Caenorhabditis elegans: one gene and its partners. The protein of the gene in region 1 interacts with the protein of each later gene in a pairwise test. Each region holds a gene or a part of one and is shown in the gene's direction. Other genes may lie near its edges.

Region 1 (4,823 bases):
CAAAATGACACGAATATTGGACGTTTTTAAATCAAATTAATTTATTAATAGGTAAAATATTAAAAAATAAACACAAAAATGACAAAGGAATAGGAAAACACGAAGAGAAATTGAGTATCGCTGTCAAAATTCGAAAAACGTGGATTTTTCCAAGAATCGAGCCCGTAAATCGACACATTCGCTACAGTAGTCATTTAAGGATTATTGTAGTTTTCGCTACGAGATACTTTGCGCGCCAAATATGTTGTGAAATACGCATTCTCAGAATTTTATGTTCCCGTAATACCACAATGACCGAATATCATAATAAAAAAATTCAAAAACAATTTCTAGATTTTATATGATTTTTTGAAAATTGAAAAAATCTCAGTTTTCACCTAATTATATTTGAATTACCGCCAATTGAACTCGTTCGTTGGAGCGCGCTTGCATTATTTTCATTAATTAATTTTATTAATTTTCATTATTTCACTGATTTTCTTCATTTTTGAGGTTTTTTTTATCGGGAAATGAAAGAAATATACAAGAAAAATGCAAAATGTTTATTAAAAACTGAAATTAGTATTTCTCGGAGTTTTAGGCATTTTCAGTTACTTTTTAATAAAGATTTTGCATTTTTCTTGTATATTTCTTTCATTTTCCGATTAAAAAACCCCAAAAATGAAGAAAATCAGTGAAATAATGAAAATTAATTCAAATAACTAATGAAAATAATGCAAGCGCGCTCCAACCAACGAGTTCAATTGGCGGTAATTCAAATATAATTAGGTGAAAACTGAGATTTTTTCAATTTTCAAAAAATCATATAACATCTAGACAATTTTTTTGAATTTTTTTATCATGATATTCGGTCATTGTGTCCCCATAGGCATGTTTTAAAGCAATTTCCACCTTTAAATAAAATCGAGAAAAAATGGCGTCAAAAGACATATGTAAAAGCTGTTTCTCTTTGTATATTCACACAGAATATAGCCCGATTTTGGAGGTGAAAAACCGGTTTTTTTGTATTCTTTACGCCACATAAAGTGATATGGAAGAGAAAATCGACATATTTATGTACTTGGAGTACGAGTACATTGGAGAAAAAGGGTGAACTACTGGAAAATCTGGGAAATTTCAGAAAAAAATTCCGAAAAATCTTTTTTGCTGAAAAAAAAATTTGTTCGAAATTTGGGAAATACTGGAAAATTTTCATCAAAATTAAAGCGATTTTTAACGTTTTTGCTTGGGAGATACTATTTGTAATTTTAATGTTTGGTGAGGACAACAGAAATGACCTTCAGCGTACGGAAAACGATTAAAAGACACATTTGAATCGAAAATAGCGTGAAAAACATGAAAATATCGGAAAAATAGCTTTAAAATTGGATTTGAAAGCAAAAAATGTATCAAAAATCGAGAAAAATGCTTGAAAAAGTTGAAAAACTCAAACAAAAAATCAAAAAAGGTTTTTTTAAAAATCTGTGAGTATCGCAACGAAAGCACAACTTGAGGCATGCGCCTTTAAACCAACCGTAACCAAATTCGGAGGCAAAAAAAGATTTCTCGCTGTTTTTTCAGTTTTAAAATCACTTTTCACGTTTCTTTTCGCAGTAATTCGTTTGCAAAACATCTGAAAAAATTTTATTTTATAAGAAATTATATAAAAATCGCTATAAATTGAGTTTTTGCCCCCAAATTCAGCACGGAGCACTTCTCAATTAAATATAATTTTATTTTTTAACATTGAAAGCTTTCATAAAATTGAGCTTTGTTTGTAAATAATCAGTGAAAAAACACAGAAATCTTCAAAAAATAAAGAAAAAGTTTTTAAAAATCTGTGAGTCCCGCAACGAAAATAAAACTTTAGGCATGCGCCTTTAAACCAACCGTAACCAAATTCGGCGGCAAAAATGGATTTCTCGCCGTTTTTTCAGTTTTACAATCACTTTTTAGGTTTCTTTTTGCAGTATTTCGTTTCCCAAACAATTAAAAATCAAATTTTCTTTTCCAGATGGCTCAAACAAAGCCGATTGCCGAGCAAATGGCTGCACTCAACAACTCAGATGACACGTCGTTCGCTGCCGATCGATCGAACAGTCTTCTGAATGCGACGTGCCCGGCGAGAATTCAAAATTCAGTAGATCAACGGAAAATCAATCGATCATTCAATGATTCGCTGTCGTCCGGATATAGTGGAAAATGGCTTCGTCCAAAGCGTGAAGCGCTCAAGATCACTCCATTGGCTCAGATTGACGAGGCGCCGGCAACTAAAAGACATAGCTCGGCGAAGGATAAGGTTTTGATTTAAAAAAAAAACTGAAAAATATGCAAAATCGATTTTTTTTCCAGCACACAGAATACAAAACGCGACTTTGTGATGCGTTCCGCCGTGAAGGATACTGCCCGTACAACGACAATTGCACATATGCTCACGGACAAGATGAGCTGAGAGTTCCGGTGTGTCTGAAGCCTGGAAATCTTTGGAAAATTTTTTTTTCAGAGACGCCGCCAAGAGTATTATTCCCGAGATCCACCACGTGAGCGCCGTGATTCTCGTTCTAGACGAGACGACGTGGATACAACAATCAATCGATCGAGTTCTTCAGCATCGAAGCATCATGATGAGGTGCTGATCGGATGGAAATTCGCTTTTTTGACAAATTTTCGCAGTTTTTTCGCTAAATTTCATTTAAAATATGCTTATTAACACATTATATCACTATTTAGACGAATATCTTGTAGAAATGTTGGGTTTTGTTCGAATTTTCTCTACTTTTTGAGTTGCTTCACGAAGAAATTGTGTTCTCTTTCATTGTACAGAAGAATCTATGTTTTACAAGGGAAAAAAGTAAGATGGTGCAACATTTTCTCGTGAATCGACTCTAAAAGTAGAGAATTATCGAACAAAACCAACATTTCTACAAGATATTCGCCTAAGTACTGATATTATGTGATAATAAATGAAATTTAGCGAGAAAATACTGCGAAAACGCCTTTTCAGACCCAAAACCGCCTAAATTTCTCGAATTTTCAGGGCTAAATCATTTTAAAACTCCAATTTCGCTCAATTTTCCGTGTCGAGACGGTCCGAAGTTGATTTTCTGGAATTATCATCCTTGTTTTGCATCTTTTAGTAGTTTATCTCAAATTTTTCCCGCCTGCAGACAGATTATGTGAGATAAACTACCAAAATGTGCATTAAATTATGATAATTCCAAAAAAAGTCAACTTTCGGCCGATGCGGCACGAAAAATTGCCAAAATTCGAGGTTTTTAGCTAAAATTATCAAAACTTTGGACAAAAATCATCCATTGCGCAGCGAATTTTTGGGGTTATACGTTCAAAATGTTTATTTTAAAATGAAATTTAACGAGAAAATATAATATACTGCGAAAACGGCTTCTCAGACCAAAAATCGCCCAAAACTCGAATTTTCAGGGCTAAATTGGCTAAAAGTCTTCATTTTTGGCAAGTTCTCCGTGTGGCGACGGAAAAAAAGCCAATTTCTGGCAAAATTGAAGATTTTCAGCTAAAATTAACCCTGTTTTTCAAAATTTTGAACAAAAATCGTCAATTTCAGCGAATTTTTGAGGTTTTACGTTGCAAAAATCCTTATTTTTAAGTGAAATTTAGGGAAAATATTACAATATTTTACTTCCAGAATCGGAGACCCAGCAACAACCACGGAAGCTCGAATCGTCGTCAGATTTGTCACAATTTCGAGAGAGGAAACTGCAGATATGGTCCAAGGTTCTAGGAAATCTGGAATTTTTATTAAAAATAAATAAAATAAATTTTCCTTTCAGATGCCGCTTCATTCACGTCGAACAAATGCAACATTTCAATGCGAATGCGACGGTTTACGCGCCACCTTCTTCCGATTGTCCGCCGCCGATTGCCTACTACCATCATCATCCACAACATCAGCAACAATTCCTGCCATTTCCAATGCCATATTTCTTGGCTCCACCGCCGCAAGCTCAACAAGGAGCTCCTTTTCCAGTGCAATATATTCCACAGCAACATGATTTGATGAATAGCCAGCCAATGTATGCACCAATGGCACCGACATACTACTATCAACCAATTAATTCGAATGGCATGCCCATGATGGATGTGACTATTGATCCGAATGCCACGGGCGGTGCGTTTGAAGTGTTCCCCGATGGATTCTTCTCTCAGCCACCACCAACTATTATTTCCTAATTTTGCCGTATTTTCCATATTTTGTTTTGTATATTTATCCACTCACCCCCTCTCTTTGTCCTGTGAATGAACTTGTGCCAAAAAAGCCAAAAATAATTTACTTTTTTTAAAGACATATTAAAACTTGAAAACTTGGAACAATACGGTGCGAAAGCGAAACAGAGACAGAAAAATGAACAAAGAGATCCGTGAAAAGTGAACGATGATTTAGGCTTCTTGTTGGGCGGCGTGGATGAGAGTGATGTTGTCTCCTTTGAGAAGAATTCTGCCGATCTTGTTGCGTCCCTTCGTCTTCATGTTCACCTCCTCGGCTTCGTCGAACACGACATTCATGAACTCGTCGAATCCGATGATGTAGCCCTCGAGACGGTGGGTGACATCCTCGTACAACCAGATTTGGACCCGAGTGCGGTTTTGGAGATATCTGAAATTTGGGAAATTGTTTTCTACTGATTAGTGAAAAAATATTACCTGAAGATGAGGTTCACAGGCTGAACCATCACTTTGTTGAGCTTTCTCGTCGACATTTTTGCGGGATGATCTGTAAAAATCAATATATTTTTTGAAAGACACAAATTTTTAAGATAAATATCAAGAAAACTCGATTTTAGCAGCTATTTAAGCTCAAAAACTAC
Region 2 (4,135 bases), on another chromosome or scaffold:
TAAATGTAGAAACGGAAGATTGGGAGGTACTTCCAGCAATGGCGCCAGGACCACATTCTCAACTGAAATTGTCATTATTTATTTTCTTCATACTTTCCGGGAAATCTTACGTATTCTTGAGCGGTCCATGGCCGGGCTGGCATGCGTGGATGAAGGTCTGTGGCCGGGATTGGAGCATTTGGAGAAGCAACGACGACGGCGGCTCCTTTGACTGTCTCGGCAGTCCACTTTGCTGCCTCAAAGAGCTTTCCTACGACCATAGTTGATTACCTACAAAACTAAAAATGATTATGTAGTTAAGCTTTATTTGAATATTGATATTTTTAAGCTAAAAAAAAAGATAATTGACATAATTCAACATCGTGAGAGCGTGGGGAAAAATTGAACGTGAATTGCAAGAAATAAACAAAATAACTTATATTTATCAATATTTTACATCGAAAAAAAACTCAAAAAGAGCAATTTTTAGCTTAAAAATAAAAAATTGGGAAGCCAAAAACTGACGGCGGTTTTCGTCCCGCCCCTTTTTGCAAGATTGTGCGTGCTCGCGGTTGTGTGCAAACACGCCGCACACACTTACGACGCTGCGTTTTTTGTCTGCCTCCTGTTCTCGTTCAAAACTGTTTCACCGTTCACCTCGTTTTTCTCTCACTTTTCTGTTTTTCTTATTGTTTTCTACTAGAATTATATCTATATTTGTTCAAAATATAATAAAAAGACGACGCTTGAAGTGTTTCGAATAGTTATTTTCACTGAGCTGCACCTGTCTAATAGACCCACCGTTCAAGGAAGAAAATATCGATTTGTAGGCACTGAATAATATTTTTTAAACATTTTTCGATTCAAAATAAAAATACTTCCAGCAATGGCGCCAGGAAATTCATTGGAGAACTCACTCTCAAATATTAATCTCAATTTCGTAAAATGCTATTATCAAAAAATATCAATAGCACAGGCCACGTGGCTTTTGTTTTTTATTTAAGCTCCTCCCACAACTTTATTTCCGAAGTGAATTTAAAAATTAAACTAAAGGTCAATCATGGGAGGAGCCTAAATAAAAAAGAAATAAAAATCAAAAGCCATGTGGCCTGTGCGATTGATATTTTTTGATAATAGATTGTGGCTGGCTAGTTTAGATTCCTGTAGAAATTGTGCCAAGAAAATTTAAATAATTTCAAGACAAGGCCCAAAAGACAGTATATCATATTGTCAGAATTTTTTATTCCTTGGCACTGGCGAAATTTTCCAGTGCTCTAAATTATTCCAAAAAACCACAGCCACCTGTTTAAGTATATGTCTTTGAAAATTATATTCCTTCAAAGTTTTTACAAAACCTCAATTCTTATATTTTTCCGCTTCAATGATCTTGCCGAATTCAGTTTATTGATCAAAATGTGTTATAGTAATGAGCGTTTTCACGTCGCGTTTATATCGATTACCAAAAATTAGCCAAAAACTCGATCAATACTGCATAACCTGTCTTACACCTTCTCCTTCTCTTCATTTTATTTTTCTTCGAGCAATCTTGTTATTTCAGTCTACTGCGACCATCAAACATGAACTCAAACGGCCCGTTGATGGAGCACGGTAAGCGCCGTGTCGCCTACTACTATGACTCCAACATTGGAAATTACTATTATGGTCAAGGGCACGTCATGAAGCCACATCGTATCAGAATGACCCATCATCTCGTTCTCAACTATGGTCTGTACCGGAATTTAGAGATTTTCGTAAGTAATATTTCTTCATTGAAATATTGTAAACGTTTAATTTTAGCGCCCATTCCCTGCATCATTCGAAGACATGACTCGTTTTCACAGCGACGAGTACATGACGTTTTTGAAGAGTGCGAATCCAGATAATCTGAAATCCTTCAACAAACAAATGCTTAAGTGTAAGTTATATTCTTTTTAAAACTAAATGTATTGTCTCATTTCAGTCAATGTTGGAGAAGATTGTCCTCTCTTTGATGGTCTTTATGAGTTCTGCCAACTCAGTTCGGGAGGTTCTCTGGCTGCTGCCACTAAATTGAACAAGCAGAAGGTGGACATTGCTATCAATTGGATGGGAGGCCTCCATCACGCCAAGAAAAGCGAGGCGTCCGGATTCTGTTACACCAATGACATCGTTCTCGGTATTCTCGAGCTTCTCAAGTACCACAAGCGAGTACTTTACGTCGATATTGATGTTCATCACGGAGATGGAGTAGAGGAGGCGTTCTATACGACTGATCGAGTAATGACAGTGTCATTCCATAAATATGGAGATTTCTTCCCAGGAACCGGAGACCTGAAAGATATAGGAGCTGGAAAAGGAAAGCTCTATTCAGTCAATGTTCCACTTCGCGATGGAATCACCGACGTCTCTTACCAGAGTATTTTTAAACCAATCATGACAAAGGTTATGGAGAGATTTGATCCCTGTGCTGTTGTTCTTCAATGTGGAGCTGATTCTCTCAACGGAGATAGACTTGGACCATTCAATCTGACCTTGAAAGGCCACGGAGAATGTGCTCGTTTCTTCCGAAGCTACAACGTTCCACTTATGATGGTCGGTGGAGGTGGATACACTCCAAGAAATGTGGCACGTTGTTGGACGTACGAAACCTCGATTGCCGTCGATAAGGAAGTTCCAAATGAGTTGCCATACAATGACTACTTCGAATACTTTGGACCAAACTACCGACTTCACATCGAGTCGTCGAATGCAGCAAATGAAAATAGCTCCGATATGCTGGCTAAATTGCAAACTGACGTCATCGCCAATCTCGAGCAGCTCACTTTTGTTCCAAGTGTTCAAATGAGACGTACGTTTTGAACGAATTTTTGTTCACTTTTTAGAATCTGTCAGAAAATTATTAGATGTTTGTTGAACACTTCATAATTATTCCATTTTTCAGCGATCCCAGAAGACGCCCTCTCTGCATTGAATGATGACTCATTGATCGCCGACCAAGCTAATCCCGACAAACGACTACCACCACAAATTACCGATGGAATGATTCAAGACGATGGAGACTTCTACGATGGTGAGCGTGAGGGAGATGATCGAAGAAACGAGAGCGATGCGAAGAGAGCAGCTCAGTTTGAGTCGGAAGGTGGTGAAAAGCGTCAGAAGACAGAGTAAAACACTAAAATGTGCCGCCGTCGAATTCAGTATCTCCTCTGAAAATAATATTCAATCACTGTACACCACTTTTTCCTTGTCAAATGAGTATTACTTTTTGATTTTCCTTAAATCTAATTTAATTTTCCGCCCAAATCCCAACTGTTTTATTTATTTTTCAAATTCAAGCACTTTTATTTGGAAGATCTCTTCACTTTTCCCCATTAATCCTTTTTTATCTCAGTATCCTTTACCCGTTTTGCACTTCCTCAACATCCTTACTCCTCACATCCACATCTAATCTACCCCCTTCAACGATTTCCATTTCTCTTGTCGTCCCACACTCCCCATTTTACTGGCACACAATTCCAATTCCACAGTCAGATCCTGAACACTTTTTTGTATTTTGGTGAATTTCTTCGTTTTTATTTATTTAATAAAATTGACTCGATTGGAACCGGCGCAACGTCTATCTTCAATTCGGAAATTGGAAAAATCGAATTTGTCACATTGGAATTCGAATGGAAGAAGACTAAAGTTTTTGCAGTTGACATCGTTTATGTCGTCAGTTTCAGCTGCTTCATAATTATTGTCTGGAAGCGAGCAATTATAACACGAATTATGATGACTACGCATGTGGTCTCATATTACAGAATAAATTCTCATTTCTATTTTCAATTGTATTCCTTGTCTGTCTTCATCTGATGTTGGATGGTGTGCTCCAAAACGGAGACCAACAAAAATTGCATCATAAAAATCCACTTATCCAAATTTTAGCCCCACCTGGGAATGGAATCGAATCGGCTCTCCGAGCACTCCTTTCACACAGAGACGGAGAGAGAAATTAGCTTTTTACTGGGTTCTTGTTGTTGAAAATGCAAAAAAGATGAAAACATGTTTCGATTCTTTCTTTGTTTTTCTTTTTTCTTTCCACTCATTCATACTTTTCATTGTTTGTCGTTCATTTTTCAAGTCTAAAATTCAGAAATATCGAAAAAAAAGGATATTCAATTTCGCAACGTAACCGATT
Region 3 (4,805 bases), on another chromosome or scaffold:
TAAACAAACAATTTTGAAACTCACTTCCAAGCTGTGATAAGATGTGTGAATCGTCATGAAAACTCATGGACTTAACCCGTCGTGATTTTCTGTAAAAATCGATTTTCCCTGATTCGATTTATTTATTCTTAAATTGTTCAGAAGCTTGAAAAATCGAACAGTTGGCAATTTGGAAAAAAATAAAGTAAAAATAACACACGTGAAACGAGTGTTACCGTACTCCTCTGTCCCACCGGGACATGAGAGCAATGTCTGCGTCTCTGACTGGTTTTACACTGCGGAGCGGCTGCGTCACGGTCTTCAGACGCGCGGTTTGCTTCGCTTGCAAGTCGTCTCGTGTGATTTTCGAAAACATTAATGCTGGTGTCCGCCACGACGGCACTCCGGAGAATTCATATACTCATTTTCTGTTTCTTTTTTGTGGCACAAACTTCTAACAAACATTTTAGGTGAATTTGGCGAAAAAGAATATGGGAGTAAAATTAAATGATCCGACTGGGCGAAAGCTTATGTAAAAGCCAGAAAAACGTGTGCAATCCCTTGAAAATTAATTGCAGAGAAGGTGAAGAGAATTTGAAGAAATTATACTCTGAAATATTCTGAAAATTGGAGGTATTTGATAAATATTCAAAGCTCAATAAAGCTGGTAATCGCTCGGAAAAATGAACGTTGGAAATTTAATCTAGTGTCAAATTCGATTGTTTCGAAAAAATTTGCTAATTTTAGGTGAATTAGTCTAGCTATTTCCAGTTTTTGTTAAATTTGCCACGCTACGTTCAATTTCTTTAGATATTATTTTCCTTGTAACGCGCCTAGCCCAAAACGTGTTTCGTAACGAAATTCGTATTCGTAAGCCCATTTCCCTTGATCGATATTCAATGTTAGAGTGTGTAAACTGAAGAGACGCTGCCGATTAGTAGAGTTGTTTGCGCTGAGAGAGAGAAATGACGGGGGCCTCTCTTTCCACTCTTCCCTTCTCCCTCGTGGTCGATTTTGACGGGTTGCGATAGTCACTTGAGCGAATAGCAGCAGTATGACAACGCGCTTGCTGTATACATTCTTTCTGTGGTTTTCGTCATCATCAATCCTTTTTCTAACATACAAGAATAGTTTCCAAATGGTAACAAAAAGTTAAGCATAATTGGAGAAAAAATGACGAAAAATTGGTTAATTGAATTTTAACGAGTTTGAAAGATCAACATTGATCTGAAATAGTTCGAAGAATTTAAAAGCAACTGAAAAACTGAAGTTATTGATATGAAAAGACGGTTTGTTTGAGTTCCAGATTTGAGCATTCTAGACTGAAATTCCAACGTTCAAGATTCCAAGAAGCTATACATTTTTATGTTTTAAAGCTTTTCGAAATAGTTGATTTTTAATTCGAGAAAAAATTCATCCCAAAACTCTGTTCAAATTTCCTACATTATGGGCGGAGTCTGCGCGACCAATGGGCGCTCATGCCGTTTCTATCGTAGACAACATGAGAATGCTCCTCCCACTGCAACTGTGACTTGAAAATTGAGAGAACGAACTGAAATATGTAAATAATCACAAAGATCCGGAAAAGGGAATCACGGAGGAAAACATGAATTTTCATTATCTTTTTATTTCTTTTCTTGCTTTTTATTAGAGCTTGAGAAGTGAACACCGCTTTAACTTTTTATTATGAAAATCCGTAAAACCGGGTATAAATCCAATCATTACAATTATTCTAGATCATGACGGACATCATATCTCAAAATGAAAATAAAGACGATTTCGAAGATGGTGAACTTCCTGAGGACGGTGAAATATGTGATGATGAAGATGAATCTGTAAAAGCAGTGCCCTCCAAATCATCAGAATCAGCTCCAGGTGCTCATATTGCTCCAGCACATCCTGAGAAAACAAGTGGTCGGGATTCACGAGAACGAGTCAGGCGGTTTGAAGGGAATAGTCCTCCGAGAGAGCGAGATCCGGATCCGTTTGGATCTCACAATGATGCTCCGGATGGAAATGGTAAATGTTTCTCTGAATTTTTTGAAAGTCTAACGTCTGATTTGTGAATTAAATTTATCCGATCCGATAATTATCCCGGCAACTGTTTATTCTACGAAATTTAGAGTGTAACCTCTCTTGTTTTTTATTGACGCATTAATAAATGGGAATAATTTTCGAGTGCTGAAAAGGAGAAATTTAATAATTTTCAGATTATTTCGGTGGAGATAAAGACTATCGTAGCGGAGCAGCAGCTTCGTCAGAAGAAGAACCATTCAGTGATACTGATTATCGTGTAAATCGGCGGAGACGCTTATCCCCTTCCCACGACGACGGAGACTTTGACCCGAGATCAAAACGGCCATACTATGGAGGACGAGGAGGATTCCGGGGTGGCTTCCGGAATGGAGCGAAGCCAAGATTTCAAACAGAACATCAGATCTGCAAGTTTTTCCGAGAAGGTTATTGTAGAGACGGTGACAATTGTTTGTACTCTCACCAAGCCGAAGATTCACTGAGACGGCCTGTTCTGTGCAACTTTTATGCTAATAGTTTTTGTAAAAAGGTTAGTTTCAGAAAAAAAAACCAACTTTTCATTTTAAAATACTAATTCTTGTTCAGGGTCTACAATGTCTTATGCTCCATGGAGAATTCCCATGCAAATCCTTCCACAAAGGACAATGCAACCATGATCCATGTAGATTTTCTCACGTTCCCCTGACGGACTATACCCGACCAATCATTGAGAAGATTCTAGCAGACGAAGAAGCCCGGCAGGCTCATCAAGCGCAGCAGGCTCAAACATACAGACAGAATCCAGTGGCAAATGCTGCTGCTGCCGCTGCAGCTGCACAAGTAATGCCAAGAAGGAGAGTTCTCCTCCCTGGAGGTAAGCAGAAAATCGAAATCACTTTTCCATAATAATTATTCAAAAATGTTCAGGCCCTAATATGAATGGTTCATCTCCACCCCACGCAACGCCTGTGATACATGCTCCGATCCCTCAAGCATCTCATCCAAGTCAACTTCCACCACCAGCAGTTGTTGTGCCAACCATTCAACGAAACCCTGGACCAGGAATTCCAATACATCAGCAATACCCTGTTGCTCCAGCAGCTGGAGGATATTTCAATCAAGGGCCACGGCCCGAACAAGTTCAAGGACTTCCACCGCCACGAACAATTGAGCCACCTAGGCTGAGTACTCAAACTCCTCCTATAATGCATCAACAGCAACCACAACTAATGAGGCCTATGCATCCAGTTCCAATTCAACATCCACATCTTCAGCAGCCTGGATTAGTTCAGCCACCGCAAATAGTCTCTCAAGAACGACATACTGCATCACCACAAGGATTCAATTTAGAGGTAAGAATATTGAGAAAGCTTTCATTTAACAATATTTATTTTTCAGGCAATGCTTAACAAGATGGCCAATGGCGAAAAGCTCATATCAAGTCCTCGGAACAACGTGGTCGACGATTCTCCAGCCTCGCCTCCTCCGTCCAACTATTCCAGCATGTTTGGATCATCGAATCGTGTAGCAGTCATACCACAAACAGTGCAAGTCACTTGGGGACTAGTTCGTGTTCAAAGGCGACTTCCGTACTCAAATGTTGAGAACCCTGATCGTATAGCTGCCAATGATCCAAGAAGAGCCAAAGCAATCGCCAAACAGTTTGATGCTTTCAGCTCATTGCTGGGCGCTGGAGGGAATGCCGTATCAGATCCAAGACTTCGGGCACAGAAAGAGAAAAATGATCGTCAACAAAATACAATGCCATTTTCCTCGTGGATGCCTCAAATATCTTAATTTTTATTGTAATTATTCAATGTCTACTGAAAACATTAGTTTATCTTTTAAACAAAACAATTACAAGTTTAGATTCATGTGAGTGTATCACATTTTTCAATCTTTCAATTGATCTGGTCTCTTCATATTGCCTGTTAATGTTTAGTTCTTTCTTAAAGTTTTCATTTATGATTTTGTGAAAAATTTGCAAAACCTTTCCTGTCTTCAACGAGTTTATCTGGACATTTGAGGCTTTTCAAAAAAATTTTCCACTCACAGACGATACTGGTACGATCCCTGTTCCAATCCACTCCCCGAACTGCTGGCATTTTATTTTTAATCAGTTATCAAGTTCCACAAATGATGCTCACTTTTCTGATATGTGTAAAATTGTGTTTCAACCATTTATACTGATGTTTTCTTCACTTCTTTTTAACTTGTATAAGATGAGAACATATTTTGAATGAAGAATGATTTATTAAAACTTGGACTTGTTATTATATTTGAAAAAAATCATCAATTGTAGCCGGAAATGTCAAAAAGAGAGGGTGTTCCTTTCCACTGCACAGATACCTCATTCTGCGCCTCTTCGTCTCACACGCACTCTCGTTTAGCGGCACACACAAAACTTAGTTGACGGCGGAACCTGAAGAGTGTCGGCCGCGCCGTTTTGTTGCCTCAGCACACTTTCACCCTTTCTCCAGTCTTCAGTATGGGTCAATCTCTGATCTGCAACTGAATATGATGAGTTCGGGCGATGATCTTCTGTGATTACATCGCACGGCGAGGTGGGAACGCAATACCCGCCTGCCAGCCCGATTCTGAACCAAGTTGCCTAGAAATATTTTGGAAACATAAGACTCTTTTAGAGTTATTTATATGAATTACATCTTGTTGTGTTCAATTTGATGTGTTTGTTCATTAAAGCTTAACGAACAACATCGTTGACATAAAATACACGATTTCTAAACATATACGAAGTACATGAGGTAAAAACGTAATCAACAATTGTAAATGATGCCAGATATTGTATCCAA
Region 4 (7,409 bases), on another chromosome or scaffold:
TTTTTTGTGGAAAATCAATAAAAATCTTATTTTTTGCATTTCAAAAGTTTCATTTTTAAGTTAAAAAAAAATTAAATTTAAAATTTTCGCTAAAATTTTAGAAAATTACCTCAAAAATTCAGAAAAATTTGCGTAAAAGCTCAGAAAATCTGGAAAATTTCGATTTTTTTTGCAGTTTTTTTTTCTCTCAAAAACTGCAAAATTTCGCTTAATGCCACGTGGCAATTTTTACAATTTTTTTTTCAAAATTTCAAAAAAAAAAAATTTCAAAATTCCCAAAAAAAAACTTTTTTTTTCAAAATTTCAAAAAAAAAAAAATTTCCCAAAAACTCTCAATTTTCTTCAGAATTCATGCCAGCAGCGCTTAAAAAGATGCCAGTTCCACGTGGCGATCATGATGACGTCATGGTTTACGCAAAAGTGACGTCAGATGACGTGGGCAACGTTGCGATTCCGGATTGGCAGGATTTGAATGGAGAAGTGATTTTGGAAATGGAACCGGAATCGTGTCATTTGATTCCGTTCGAATCGGTACATCAATTGGTTGAAGATGGAAATATTCAACTGATGTGAAGAAGAATTTTTTGATAATTTTTTCGGATTTTTTTGGAATTTTCATCATTTTTACCCCTAAAATCGTAAATTTAATCCATTTTTTTGTAATTTTCCCGAATTTTTCATCATTTTTTACCCCTGAAACCCCCTTTTTTTTTTTTTACATATGTCTACTTTAATTTGTCACTTTTTGCCAATTTTCTGTCAAAAAATGAGCATTTTCACTGAAATTTTGCGGTGATTTTTCGCCTGTTTTCTCCTCTTTGAATCTCAATTTTTCACTTTAAAATTATCAAATTTTGCTCAAAAACCTCATTATTCCATTTTTATGTTCCCCCAAAAAACTGGATTTTCACTTCAAAAATCGGGTTTTTTTCTCTTAAATTTTCATTTATTTTAGCTTTTTTAAACATAAAAACGAAGCTTACTCCATGTTTTTTCCTGAAAATAGACAAAAAAATTTGGTTTGATATAAATTTTCGATTTTTGAGCCAAAAAGTGAATAATTTAAAGTTTTTCTGCTCATAACATTGTTCAGCATGACCATAGCGCAAAACTGGTGAAATTTTTGGAACTTTCGTAAAATTTCAGGCTTAAAACACCTAAATTACGCGAATTTTGGAGCAGTTTGAAAACTTGGTCAAGTGGCTCAGGCGGGAAGAGAGAAGGCTATGGTTCGGAGGGTAACAGGTTCGAACCCCCGCTAGGGTCAATATTTTTTATATGTTTGAATTAGTATAGCCTAGTTGGTTTTGAGCAATTGCGAAGGGGAGGAAGGGTTTAAGGGAATTTTTTGAAAAAAATCGATAAAATGTGTTTTCTTTTGGTTTTTTGCCAATTTCTTGAAGTTTTCAGCGATTTTAGCATAAATTTCCAAATTCTGCAGAAAATTTAGACATTTTTTGACACCCATATTAACTTTTCAACTTTTTTTTTCGAATTTTGAGCCAAGAAATTGATCGATTTAAAGTTTTTTACTCATAACTCTGTTCAACATGAACGTAGATCAAAACTAGTTAAATTTCTGGAATTATCGTGAAATTCTGAGCCTAAAACAACTAAATTACGCGAATTTTGGAGCAGTTTGAAAACTGGGTCAAAGTGGCTCAGGCGGGAAGAGGTATGGTTATGTGCGGAGGGTCATAGGTTCGAACCCCCGCTAGGGTCAATATTTTTTTAATGTTTGAATTAGTATAGCTAAGTTGGTTTAGAACAATTGCGAAGGGTTTTGAGGGAATTAAAAAAAAAAAAAAACATTTTTTTTTAAATTTTTAGATTAAAAATTTTTTTTTTTTTGGAGAACTAAACTTTCAGGGCTCAGAGTAACACTGAAACAAGAACAATTTTTTTTCATATTTTATCATTTTATGTTACCTGTTACCTTGAACATGTTGATCGGCGTGATTCCACCTATAAAAACCAGCGAAAACCCCGTAAAAACCTGAAAAATGTTACTTTTCATAATTTCCCCCTTATTCCTACTCTCTCTATGCCAACCTACAGTAACCCAACACTCTCAGGAGGTACTGTCACATTTTAACAATTTCACGATGCACCATAAGAAACACTACCGTACCCCGGCGGAGAAAGACCGCCGGTTGGCTCATTTCGCGAAAAATCATCAGAAAATCCAGGAACTTAATGCGAAAGCAAGGAGAGAAGGACGAAATGTGACTTTTGGGTGGAATAAGTTTGCTGATAAGAATCGACAGGAGTTGAGCGCCAGAAATTCAAAGGTTGGGGAGTTTTTTCAAAAAGCGCACAAAATTCTGCGCAAGATGGTTTTTGATTGGTTGAAAAATATTGATTTTAAACCGAGTTATGGCGTTTTGAAGGTGGTGGCCTAGAAACCGGAAATTTAGAAAATTTAGGTCACCAGTATTAAATAGGTCAAATAGACTCTAAATTTTAGGGAGAGTACATTAGTTTTAGAATCACTGAAAAATATTGATTTTCCGTTGAGTTATGACGGTTTTAAGTTGGTGGCCTAGAAACCCAAAAATCAGAAATTCTAGGCCACCAATATTAAATAGGTCAAATCGATTCCAAATTTTGTGGCAAGTACGTTAGTTTTGGAATCACTGAAAAATATTGATCTTGAGCAAAGTTATGAAGGATTGAAGTTGGTGGCCTAAAAATCCAAAAATCAGAAATTCTAGGCCACCAATTTTAAATAGGCCGAATCTATTCCTAATTTCAAGTCAATCACGGTAGTTTAGGAACCACTGAAAATATTAATTTCGAGCCAAGTTATGAGAGATGGAAGTTGGTGGCCTAGAAACTCAAAAGTTAGAAATTCTAGGCCACCAAATATCAAATAGGTCAAATTGATTTCAAATTTTGAGAAAAGTACGTTAGTTTTGGAGTCACTGAAAAATATTGAGTTTCCGTCGAGTTATGACGGTTTGAGGTTTGTGACCTAGAAACCCAACAGTTAAAAACTCTAGGCCACCAATATTCAGTAGGTCAAATGGACTTCAAATTTTAGGGAGAGTACGATAGTTTTGGAATAGCTGAAAAATATTGATTTTCCGTTGAGTTATGACGGTTTTAAGTTGGTGGCCTAGAAACCCAAAAATCAGAAATTCTAGGCCACCAAATATTAAATAGATCAATTTGATTCCAAATTTTGAGACATATACGTTAGTTTTGGAATCACTGAAAAATATTGATTTTGAGCTGAGTTATGACGTTTTGAAGTTGGTGGCCTAGAAACTCAAATATTAGAAATTCTAGGCCACGAAATATCAAATAGGTCAAATCGATTTCAAATTTTGAGACATATACGTTAGTTTTGGAATCACTGAAAAATATTTATTTTCCGTCGAGTTATGCCGGTTTGAAGTTTGTCGCCTAGAAACCTGAAAAATTCTAGGCCACCAATTTTAAATAAGCCGAATTGATTCCAAAATTCAAGTTGATTAAGTTTGTTTCTGTAAAACTCAAAAATATTGATTTTGAGCCAAGTTACAAGAATTTGAAGCAGGTGGCCTAACTTTTAATTTCTAGGCCACCAACTTCAACCCTCCATAATTCGGCTTTAAATCAATATTTCTGAATTTTACAAAAACCAACTTACGAAATTTGGAATCGATCTGACCTATTTAATTTTTGATGGCCTAGACATCCAAAATTTTGGGTTTCTAGGCCACCAACTTCAAACTTTCATAACTCGGCGGAAAATCAATATTTTTGAAATTTGAAAATTGTATTAGAATGTTCACGGTGCGTTCTTTAAGTTCTAATTATTCTTTTTTTTTAAACGAAAATTAAAAAAAAATAATTTGGAAATTTTCCAGATTCATCCCAAAAACCACACGGATCTTCCAATTTACAAGCCGAGGCATCCACGTGGCAGTCGTAATCATCATAATAAACGCTCAAAACGTCAAAGTGGGGATATTCCGGACTATTTCGACCTCCGTGATATTTATGTCGATGGGAGTCCAGTTGTTGGTCCTGTTAAAGATCAAGGTATGCTTAATTTGAAAAAGCTTAAAATTTGAGTAAACACAGATTTTGATTGGCGAAAAAATATTGATTTTCCGCCGAGTTATGAGGGTTTGAAGTTGGTGGCCTAGAAATGCAGAAATTTTTGGATTTCTAGGCCATCAAAATCAAGTAGGTCAAATTTATTGCAATTTTTTAGACAAATAAATTGGTTTTTGCAAAATTTTATTATGTAGATTTTCCGCCAAGTTATGAATGTTAGAAGTTGGTGGCCTAGAAAAATCATGCTCAGGTTTTCTAGGCCACCAATTATTCGAAAACAATAATAACTTAGACTCAATGTTTTTACAATTTCAGGTTTGAAAACTATAATTTCTAAGCAAAGTTATAGTCGTGGAAGAGTTTTTAAACTTTCTAGGCCACCAACTTGAAACCGTCATAACTCGGCGGAAAATTGATATTTTCGGGTTTTGTTAAAAGCATGTATCTTTCCATAAAGTTTACTATCAAATTAACTTAGTTAATTTTTAATGGCCTAGAAAAACACCAAATTGGATTTCTAGGACCCAACTTCAATCCCATATAACTCGGCGGAAAATTGATATTTTCGAGATCCGTAAAAATAATTTTGTTCACCATGAAATTTACGTTCAATATGACCTACTTAAATTTTGATGGCCTAGAAAACAATCATTTGGATTTCTAGGCCACCAACTTCAAACTCTCATAACTCGCTTCAAAATCGACGTATTTGGAGTTTGTAAAAGCCAATCGGTTTGTAATTTAATTGTTAACTTGAAAAACTCCCCCAAATACCGGTGGCCTCATCTGAAATTCTAGGCCACCAACTTCAAACCTTCATAACTCCCTTCAAAATATTTATTTTTTGGTGTTTCAAAAACTATTTCCATTTTAAATTTTACGCTCTTTTCAACTGATAACTTTTCAGAACAATGCGGTTGCTGCTGGGCGTTCGCCACCACTGCCATCACCGAAGCTGCCAACACCCTCTACTCCAAGTCCTTCACAAGTCTCTCGGACCAGGAAATTTGCGATTGTGCAGATTCAGGAGACACTCCTGGGTGCGTGGGAGGTGATCCAAGGAACGGTCTGAAAATGGTGCATCTACGGGGACAGTCCAGTGACGGTGACTACCCTTACGAGGAATATCGGGCGAATACCACTGGAAATTGCGTGGGCGACGAGAAAAGTACAGTAATCCAGCCGGAAACTTTAAATGTCTATCGATTTGATCAAGATTATGCAGAGGAGGATATTATGGAGAATTTGTATCTCAATCATATCCCTACAGCAGTTTGTAAGTTTTTTTGAAGGGTCTCGCCACGAAAAGTTTTGGGGTACAGTAATCCGGTATGGTTTGGGCCTGAAACATGTGAATCTGGCAAAAATTACGAAAAAAAAATCTTAAAAACTGACTAAATTATGAGGTTTTGAAATTTGAAAATTTTGCGAAAAAATTAGCATTTGGGTCCCACCACGAAACGTCCTGTAGTTCTTTAGTCTGGGATGGCTTGAAGCCCAAATTTTGCAAACTAGTAGAATAAAAGTATGCGCTCCTGTCAAAATAAAAATTATCTGAAAATCTTGAAAACTAGCAAAGATATGTTGCTTTGAAATTTTAAAAATTTTTGCAAAAAATATTTTTTTCAAAATTTTGGTCCCGCCACGAAAAGTCCTGGGGTACTGTAGTCTGAATTGGCTTGAAGCTGAACATTTATAAGCTGACAGTAAAAAATTTTGCACACATTCTGAAATAAAAATAAGTCAGATACCTTAAAAACTGACAAAGTTATAAGGTTTTAAATTTCGGAAAAAATTTGCAAAGAAAATATTTTTTTCTTCAAAATTTTGGTCCCGCCACGAAAAGTCTTGGGTAATGGCTCTGAGCTTTGAATTCTAGTAGAGAAAGAGTATGCGCTCCTGTCAAGTTAAAAATTATCTAAAAATTTTGAAAACTGACAAAGTTATAACGCTTTGAAATTTTAAAAATTTTTGCAATTTTTTTTTTCAAAATTTTGGCCCCGCCACGAAAAGTCCTGTGGTACTGTAGTCTGAGATTGTTTGAAGCTGAAATTTTATAACCTGATAGTAAAAGATTTTGCACACATTTTGAAATTTAACTTAGGTGAATATCTCAAAAACTGGCTAAGTTTTGAAGTATTGAAATTTAAAAAATTTTGCAAAAAAATTTTTTTTTTTGAAAACTTGTGTCCCGCCACGAAAACTCTTGGAGTACTGTAGTCTGAGATGGCTTGAAGTTGAAATTACATAAGCTGGCAGTAAAAAATTTTGCACACATTATGAAATAAAAATTAGGTAAATATCTTAAAAACTGACAAAGTTACGAAATTTTGGAATTTTAAAAATTTTAATTAAAAAATTTTTTTCAAAATTTTGGTTTGACCGCGAAAAGTCCTGTGGTACTGTGGTCTACAATGGCTGAACGCTGAAATTTTTGCAGACTGATAGTGAATCATTTTGCGCACATTTTGAAATAAAGAAAAAGTTAATATCTCAAAAACTGGATAAGTTATAAGATTTTGAAATTAAAAAAAATTCCAAAAAAAAAGTTTCCAAAAAATTTTCAAATTTTTCCAGATTTCCGAGTGGGTGAGAACTTTGAATGGTACACATCAGGAGTACTTCAATCCGAAGATTGTTACCAAATGACACCAGCGGAATGGCATTCCGTAGCAATTGTTGGTTATGGTACATCAGATGACGGTGTCCCGTATTGGTTGGTTAGAAACTCGTGGAATTCCGATTGGGGTCTTCATGGATATGTCAAGATTCGACGTGGTGTTAACTGGTGTCTGATTGAAAGTCATGCGGCTACTGCTATGATTGATAATTAATTGTGTAATGAATGTTTTAAAAAATTAGTTGGTTTAGTGAATTACAACATTTGAGTATACAAAAGTTTTACAAAAGTTTGCCAAACCGGAAACTTAAAAAATAATGAACGATTCGAAAGTTATCACGACAAAATGATTATTTCTTGAGAGAAATTGGCGTTGACTCTCTAATTGGTGTTTCTGCTCCGACAGATCTATCGCTTTTGTCGTCTTGAGCTTTTTCGACGTCATCCTCATTGGTGCCAGCAACCTTTATTCTGAAATTACAGTCGTTAGAGATGACAATGTTAAACTAAAAAAAAACTGAACAGTTGCAAGAAAATCTCGAAACTTTGCCTGTTTATTATTCCTCCAGATAGATAACTAAAAATGTACCTGTGAATAGTGACAATATTCTTCTGTGCAATGTTACATACGCAGCTACATGCCTCTTGTTCAAGAGCCAGATTCCAGTGCATGCCTAGCAAAATGACATGTGTCGCACCATGCAAATTGATTGCCCCTGCTCTCTCTGACAAGAAAACTACG

The links.
Region 2: the proteins of pie-1 (region 1) and hda-1 interact in binary tests that used the Caenorhabditis elegans proteins (3 or more experiments, as listed by UniProt).
Region 3: the proteins of pie-1 (region 1) and T26A8.4 interact in a two-hybrid assay, tested with the Caenorhabditis elegans proteins (2 studies listed by BioGRID).
Region 4: the proteins of pie-1 (region 1) and Y113G7B.15 interact in a two-hybrid assay, tested with the Caenorhabditis elegans proteins (2 studies listed by BioGRID).

The regions. Positions count from the first base shown.
Region 1 is NC_003281.10:12,424,900-12,429,722, forward strand, and holds pie-1 (Pharynx and intestine in excess protein 1), read left to right. Parts: upstream 1-1,993; coding exon 1,994-2,278; intron 2,279-2,331; coding exon 2,332-2,439; intron 2,440-2,482; coding exon 2,483-2,608; intron 2,609-3,643; coding exon 3,644-3,732; intron 3,733-3,788; coding exon 3,789-4,188; 3' UTR 4,189-4,296; downstream 4,297-4,823. Other genes in the region: snr-6 (putative small nuclear ribonucleoprotein E), read right to left, coding at 4,396-4,612, 4,660-4,715. UniProt on the Caenorhabditis elegans protein: Maternally provided pie-1 is required for germline cell fate determination. Functions as a repressor of RNA polymerase II-dependent gene expression in the developing germline. Required for expression of nos-2 in P4 germline blastomere cells.
Region 2 is NC_003283.11:14,523,852-14,527,986, forward strand, and holds hda-1 (Histone deacetylase 1), read left to right. Parts: upstream 1-1,537; 5' UTR 1,538-1,556; coding exon 1,557-1,730; intron 1,731-1,776; coding exon 1,777-1,894; intron 1,895-1,939; coding exon 1,940-2,806; intron 2,807-2,899; coding exon 2,900-3,126; 3' UTR 3,127-3,560; downstream 3,561-4,135. Other genes in the region: ril-1 (RNAi-Induced Longevity), read right to left, coding at 1-62, 111-260.
Region 3 is NC_003282.8:8,428,404-8,433,208, reverse strand, and holds T26A8.4 (C3H1-type domain-containing protein), read left to right. Parts: upstream 1-1,715; 5' UTR 1,716-1,718; coding exon 1,719-1,998; intron 1,999-2,189; coding exon 2,190-2,542; intron 2,543-2,598; coding exon 2,599-2,866; intron 2,867-2,919; coding exon 2,920-3,344; intron 3,345-3,390; coding exon 3,391-3,789; 3' UTR 3,790-4,248; downstream 4,249-4,805. Other genes in the region: pdtf-1 (Permeability-Determining Transcription Factor), read right to left, coding at 25-67; tmem-231 (Transmembrane protein 231), read right to left, coding at 4,697-4,805.
Region 4 is NC_003283.11:20,228,438-20,235,846, reverse strand, and holds Y113G7B.15 (Pept_C1 domain-containing protein), read left to right. Parts: upstream 1-2,003; coding exon 2,004-2,291; intron 2,292-3,854; coding exon 3,855-4,029; intron 4,030-4,954; coding exon 4,955-5,323; intron 5,324-6,624; coding exon 6,625-6,881; 3' UTR 6,882-6,908; downstream 6,909-7,409. Other genes in the region: sld-5 (DNA replication complex GINS protein SLD5), read left to right, coding at 347-573.